Linked DNA regions of Saccharomyces cerevisiae S288C. Changing the gene in region 2 together with the main gene of any one other region gives a genetic interaction. Each region holds a gene or a part of one and is shown on either strand. Other genes may lie near its edges.

Region 1 (3,788 bases), on a different chromosome or scaffold from region 2:
TCCGTACTTAATGAGAACGTTGGAGCAGCGTCACGGGTGCGCAGTGGTAGTGGCTGTTGCCTTTATGTGCCTGGACTCAAGACTGACATGTCTCCATAACGCTAGGTAGCATTTTTATATACTTAACAAAAGTTGTAAAAAATAAAAACAAAAATTATATATATGGACTCGACAAAATACAGTGGGATGGATGTTTAAAAAAAATAGGGTAAGAAAGGAAAAAGGAAATATAATAAAGAAAGCCTTCAGAAAATACGTTCTTTATTTTTATCACACTATTAGCAATGACTTTCACATTTTAAAGGAAAATAATAGTATTAAAAATTAAACAGTGACGAAGGAAGGAAATAAGACACAGAAAAACTAAAAAAATAGAGTAAGTTTATAGGCCCTTTTATTTTTCGAGCAATAGTAAATTGAGTTTCTTCTTCTTTTTCTCTCCCTTTTTCGTAGTAATTTTTTTTTTAAAAATAGTATAATATAATGAATGGATTCTTGTCGTTCTTTTTTTATTTTATCTTGGGATTTGTAGGTTGCCTCTCTTTATTCTTTCTTTTTGTTTCATTCCACTTTTCTTCATAATATTTATTGTTGTTGCTGCTGTTGCTGCTGTTGCTGTTGTTGCTCAGACATAACCGGTTGTTGTTGGTCATTCATTATAAGTGGCTGACCGCCCTGTTGCTGCTGCTGTGGCATAAAATTTGATCTTTCCTTACCCCAACCGGTTCTCAAGTTTCTGCCTTGAAATGGGAAGTTTGCCAAGGCAACAATACAAACAGCGGCCTGTTCATGAGTGTCATACTTTATGAAGCAACAGCCCTTTTCTGGATAGTGCTTGAAATCTAAAATAAAACCGAAGTTCTGGAACAACGGAATTAAATCAGCTTCAGTGGCAAAGTGCGGAATATTACCGATATAGGCAGTAGTAACTCTTGGTGGGGCACTTCTAATGATGTGGTCAACAGCTTGAGGATTTACTTGAGGAGGTAAACCAATGGTCTGGGATTGTTGGGGTTGGCCTTGAGATGGTAATGGCATGGCGCCAATTGGCATTCCCATTGAACTTGGTGGCATGCCCCTGCTGTTGTTCATATTCATATTCATGTTCATATTCATCCCCATATTCATGTTGTTATTGTTGTTACTGTTATATTGACGGAAACCACCACGGTTGTTGTTACCGTAGTTACGACGCTGTTGATAATTATTATTGTTATTGTTATCACGCTTAGCAGCCCAGTTGATTCTTAGCGGTCTACCATTCAAATCTTGACCTTGCATGCTGTCCATGGCATTTTGTGCATCATCTTGAGAAGTAAAGGAAACAAAACCGTAACCTCTTGAACTACCAGTTTGCATGTCCCACATAACATGACCACTCAAGTAGGATGGGAAGTCTTTGAAGGCATTCCTTAAAGTTTCGTCATCAACATTAACATTCAAATCACCGACAAACAAGTTAAATGTATCATCGGAGGAACTCTGTTGGGATTGGAAGGCCCAGTTGATTTTGACAATGTTGTTTTCAATTTGTTTGCCGTTCAATGTTTGTAAGGCAATATTGGCATCGTGAGATTGATGGTATTCAACAAAAGCGTAATTGACGTTCTTATTATTCTTATCGATCATGATTTTGATGTTAGCAATTGGTCCGCCAACTTGGAAATATTGCTTTAAAATGTCTTCGGTGATAGCTTTGTCTAGGTTACCAACATATAAAACTCTATCGGAAGTTTCCCTACCACCGGTAATAGCATTAGCAGGAACTACGGAAGGATCATTTTCACCCTGATTGTCTTCAGCTTGTTCAGAATTGCCTTCGACAGCGACGCTCTGTTCAGAAGAAGGATCTGCTGATGCTGGAGCTTCAACTGCCGAGGGAGTTTCGACGGCAACAGGTTGCTGTTGTTGTTGTTGTTGATGTTGTTCTTCGTTATTTTCAGACATTGGAATCGAACAAAGAGTAGATGTGGTAATCTTCTTATTATGAACCTGCTATTAAGATGATAGAAGGGAAGATTAAACTCTAACTTAAAGCACGAAATGGAAACAGTAGATATTATGAAAATAACTGCAGAGTAGAAAAAAGGAAAGGCATGCTTTACCGTAGTTGAATGATTATTACGAGAGGAAAATGAAGGACAAGGAAAGACGGCCAACGATGAAAAAAAAAAATTGAAAAATTACAACAAAAAAGAAGCGAAGGCAAAAAAAGTTGAAAAAAGTACGAAGTGAAAATACGTAAAGAATTATGTTACAAAATGATGAAAAGAGAACGAGTAAATATTCTCTTTGAATTAATTAGTATACGTTAGGATAATTAATCTTCAGAGGTTTAGTAAGAACATTGTGCTTACAACCGCAACGCGTAAACCTTATGCTAACAAGCCTCTTCGTTCACCTCCCTTGTAACGGCAGTGGGAAGGGTAAGCAAAATAAATCACATTGCGAGAAATGTAAAAAAAGAATGGTCTCTAGCGGGATCGAACCGCTGATCCCCGCGTTATTAGCACGGTGCCTTAACCAACTGGGCCAAGAGACCATTGTTATCTGTTTTTCACCCTCCCTCCACACTATCAAACCAACGTCACAAATGTGTGCCAGAACCACCGCTCATTATCTCTGTGCCACAAAAATCAACTTACACTGTCATTCGAATTTCCGGCAAACTCCGACTGAGAAATGTTCGTACTACTTCCTTTCTAGGGCACATTAAAGGAAAAACTCATTGAATGCACCCTTCACAAATCTTAATATCTCTGACCTTTGCATTGTATTAACCAAGCAACCCTCCCTGTGCAAGTAGAAGCCCTGGATCCTTTGTGGTCGTAAAATGAACAAATACCAATAAGACGAAAACAAAAACAAAAACAAAACGACATAGCAACAATGCGGAATTATTTAAGGCTGGCACTCTTTCCGCATGTTTATCACAATTATTTCCACTTTCACTTAAAACCTTGTTTAAGCTTGGCCTACACCACAGGAAAAAAAACCATCCGATCTAATCTTCAAATATCAATTTGAGGTTGAAAAAATTTGCTAAAGCGTTGGTCTAATTTTGTTTTTCGCCCACATAATGTCTACATCTTTCCAGGAGTTCAAGGCCTTCTGCAACAAGGTTGGGCTAGACTTTCAATGGCTTAATTTGCAATCCTCCAAGTCTGTTCCCGAAAACGGTTCCTCTGAAGGTTTCTCAGCCGTCAGTGATACCGTACAAGAAAACATCAGACCAGCTACGGAACCACTTAACGTCAACCAGTCCAAAGATCCTGTCAGCAACTTTTTTTATGATGTCAAGAATGCTCCACTCTGGAACGTGTATAAGAGGAATCATTCCGGTCATTCTTCTGCTGAGGCTTGTTCTGGAGTAAGTTCAAGGCAGGCGCCAAAAAACATACCCGAGGCAATGGTAAAAGAGACAGTCCTTTCTAATCACGACAATGTCACCATAATAAACGAATTACTGCCAACTTCTTCTGCCATGCATCAGGAAGAAAGCACCGCTATGACAACCTCCTACCTCTTATCCCACTCCGTAAACGATACTTGCAACGTGATGTTTTCTTCCTCCTCCCACAACCGTGCTATGCTCCCATCTTCTCTTGTGCAAAGAAATAACGCTACCACATCTCCCACAACAGACTCTGCATCAGAAAACAACGAATCGGTACCCTCACTAACCTCATCTGTTAGCACATCCTCATCAGTTTATTCGTCATGGAATCCTCCTCATTCTCCACACATATCGTCATTTCCAGACGGCAATTTCGCATCGCTTAACGCAG
Region 2 (3,895 bases):
GTGTGCCTGTAATCAGATATAATCATTGCCATTAGGAGAGGAAGGAAGCCTAGTTTCGGTCCATCTTTGATTTCAATCCAATTAAATATACTTTTGAACCAAACGTGAACGAATTCTTTAAATGTCTCAGGGTAAAGGAAAAGCCTAGGAATCTCAGACATAGAACGTAAACCTGGTATGACTCTTTTTTGTAAAGTTTGCACCATTATTTCAATTTCCTTGGGATAATGCGTCCTGATGTCAATATTTGACAATTTTATGACTGAATTATTGCTGTAATTGCCAGTATTTTCTTGCATAATACGGTTTTTAGTCAAGAAACCAATGAGCATTTTTTGAGTCTGGGTCAACCATGATGAAATGGAAGACCACGACTCTGCAACTACGGGCAACAATATCCTCGGTATGCATAAGCTAATTGCGATGCGGTTGTATTGGTGTGTGTAATAGAAAATTCTAGTTATGAGTACCAAATCCGAGTTAGGAATCGTCCTTATCTTGTCGCACTGCGTCAAATCGGAAGATCTTACGGGAGAACCAAATATATATTCCTTCAATTCACTCGGCCGTATCTGCTCCATCGAATTTGAAATCTTTGACGTAGTGTAATCGAAGATATCACGGTAGTTGTTCCTACACGCCATTTGACCCGCTTCCTCAATGATCAAAATCCTGAATGCATACGTTTTTTCGTTAATAGACGTGATTTTATCAGTACCAAGACCTCCGTTGTTTTGTAACGTATCGATAGGACGACTATAAGGAATATCCCTCGAGCCGAAAAGCTTCAGTTTTAAGTCATCCGATATATGATCTAAAATGGGCGGAGAAGTCGTTGATAGCATTTCCGAAGGCTTTTCCACATTGACTGCAGTATCTAAAAGAGCTCCAGCAGCGGTCTTAGTAGTTCCTGTGCTTGCCGCTTTGCAGTATACAGGGACATTGGGAACTACGGAGGAAAAATCGGAATGCTCTGAGCTCTTCTCAAAACCAGACGAACTCGTCTTATTTCTCAGTAAATTACCCAACATATAAACTCTCCCTCTTCACCTTCTCTACAAGGCCACACACAAGACAGTTTTAACAGGCAAATGGTACTGGAGGCTCTCACCAATGGGGTTTAAGACGCTCCAAACACACGCTCTCCTTTTTTTCTTTATATATCGGTAGCAACGAAAGCTAGTCGCAGAACGTTACACACTAAAGCAGATCAATCAATCAATCCTGAGAACCTGCTTCGTTCAAACCATCCACTAGAAGAAACACGCACGTGTACCCAAAAATAGAGACAAACAAACAGACAAAAATAACAATGATTCCTACCGACTAAAGTAAAACAACACTCACGTAATAAAAAATCCTAGATACAACTCACTTGTATTCCTCTCTTCTTTGACCATCACTAAAGCTTCTCTCTTACTATATTCCTCAAATAAAAAAAAGTTGCAATGATTACTTACCAATGTGCCATAAACTCCGTGCACCACACTAGCCTTCGATTTGACACATCTCTAAGCTGAAACTGAGAATACTGTTGTAAAACAGGTATTGGCTGCTTCATAGTACACCCAATTGCCCACAACCCAAGTTAATCATAAGCTCTTGTTGTCGATGAATTGCTCAAAATGTGGCCATTCTTTCAATTTTGCACCTCTAAAACTGCTCCGTGGGTTGTGACAACAACCTTAAGGGTAATGGACTTTTTTAGAAAGACAAATGAGATGATTTCACCTACTGGTATATCATTTATTTATACACGACCGTTTTGACATTTCAGAGTTGCACGTTGGTATATCCTAATATTCTCACAAGCATCACAGTGAAGAAACGCAAGAAAATGGAAAAAATTCCCAGGTGGTTGTTGTTTTCTCTTATATCGTCGGTGCTGTGCATACTTGGGGCCCTGTGTGTGCCGTTGTTATCGGTTGCCTTCGATAGCAAGCGCAATAGCCAATCTAAGTTGGTCAACTATGGTCTTTCTCTAAGTGCCGGATCTATGATCACTACTTCACTATACATGCTATTGCCTCGGATCGAAAAATCAAACCGGTTCAAGGTTTTTCCTGGATTGCTTTTGGGTATTTGCCTCAGTTTTTTCTTAAACTACCTAGTCCACGCTTTCGCCAGCGAATCGTTGGTACACTGTGCTGATAGCGGTGACCATGCTACAGGTTCACATATACACTCCAAATCACATTCGCATTCGCACTCACACTCACATGCGGATTCGCATTCGAATTTTAGCAACGATCATGATTTAGAAAATGCTCCCTCTGAGCATGGTTATGCAACATCTTCTTCCAGTGTTTCTGAAAATGACCCGTTGATTACAAAGGATAGCGATAGACCCCAAATGAAAAAGAAAATGTCCCTAATTGACTTATTAACCAGAAGGAAATCAGAAGGCGAGTGTTGTGACCTAAACAAGTGCACTCCGCTCTTGCAATCAGAGCAGCCAGAATATATTGCATGTGTCCCACCAGTGATAAAGTCTTCTCAAAGTGAAAGAAACGTGCCACATGGATGCGAGGGATCAGAAGATAATGGACAATCCGATGACAAGGATCATCGTGGCCTTGTATGCGTGGAAAATAATATCGGTTACGATCTTGAAAACCTATCGTTGTACCGTAAGAATTTTCTTTCGAGCCGCCATCATCATTCCTCTGAATCGCCCGAAAATTATGGTTCCAACCAGTTGTCGCACTCTTTTTCGTCACCTTTGGGAAATGATGTAACTGAGAATCCGGCCGCATTGGCAGACACACAATACCATCCCGAAAATGGTTCATTATACCCCCACCATCATCACTTAGAGACCCCTTTTTCCAAATTACTGTCTATTGGTATGCAAACTTGTCTAGTCCTTGCATTACACAAATTTCCCGAAGGGTTTATTATTTTTTACACTAACAGGTCAGATTCGTCAAAGTCCTTGGGATTTTCCATTTTTTTAAGTTTGACGATCCATAATTTTGTCGAAGGATTTGCAATGACGTTACCATTCTACACTGTTTTCGAATCTAAATGGGTTGCCATTTTGATTACTGCCGTTCTCGGTGGTGGATCTCAACCATTAGGTGCATTGATAGGTTATTTCATCTTTAAAGGTAGTACTCCAAGGGATCACGAACCCAACATGGATTTTTTACTGAGCGTTACTGCAGGGTTCCTATTAGTAATTGGTTTACAAATGTTCCAAACTGGTATCGGATTTAGCGATGGACATCATCATCATCAAGGAGAAGGTGATGAAGAAATGAAACAGTCCCATAGCTCAGGCACAACTTGCTTGAAATGGTGCTGCACTGGCGTTTTGCTAATTCTAGCGAGTGCCCTTTTCACTTGATAAATTAAAACTACGTATATTCTTTCTATATAAGTCTTTTCCCATTAAATAACGGTGTATAATCACGATCATATATCATATATCATATCTACGATCATCGGCAAGATCAAATTCTTGTTCTGCTGTATGGTGCTCATCACCATAATCGGTTATCACGTTTTCCTCATTTTCCTCAAAGGGATTTTCTGTACTACTTTTAGGATGCACCTTGATGAAACCTTCTTCAGAATTATTTTCTACAGACTCTTTCACTGTGGTTCCCGAGTTTAGAGTATGTTCAACATTGCTATCCTCTAGTTCAAAAACAGTTTCTTCCGCATCACTGGGAATTGGAGCCTTGATGTCATCTGCCAAGGGTAATCTAAAATTATACTTCCCCCATTTGAAATAAAGACCAGTGATAACTAAAATGCAGAATACGTACACCATTAAAGCATAATTCATTGTTTTGAAAGTTACAGGCACTTGCGTTGGTAGGCAAACAGAAACCATAGATAACAAGAGCCACACAATAGAAACAATGTTGATGAACCAACCAAACTTATA

The links.
Region 1: mutations in ZRT3 (region 2) and PUB1 together harm fitness more than expected from each alone (negative genetic interaction), as found in Saccharomyces cerevisiae (2 studies listed by BioGRID).

Annotation. Positions count from the first base shown.
Region 1 is NC_001146.8:601,066-604,853, reverse strand, and holds PUB1 (Pub1p), read right to left. Parts: upstream 1,948-3,788; coding exon 586-1,947; downstream 1-585. Other genes in the region: YNL018C (uncharacterized protein), read left to right, coding at 3,080-3,788. UniProt on the Saccharomyces cerevisiae protein: May be associated with hnRNA within the nucleus and remains associated during nucleocytoplasmic mRNA transport, once the proteins are in the cytoplasm, disassembly of PUB1-RNA complexes may occur prior to PAB1 binding and formation of a translationally competent RNP complex.
Region 2 is NC_001143.9:116,956-120,850, forward strand, and holds ZRT3 (Zn(2+) transporter ZRT3), read left to right. Parts: upstream 1-1,837; coding exon 1,838-3,349; downstream 3,350-3,895. Other genes in the region: LST4 (Lst4p), read right to left, coding at 1-1,031; TPO5 (Tpo5p), read right to left, coding at 3,425-3,895. UniProt on the Saccharomyces cerevisiae protein: Transports zinc from storage in the vacuole to the cytoplasm.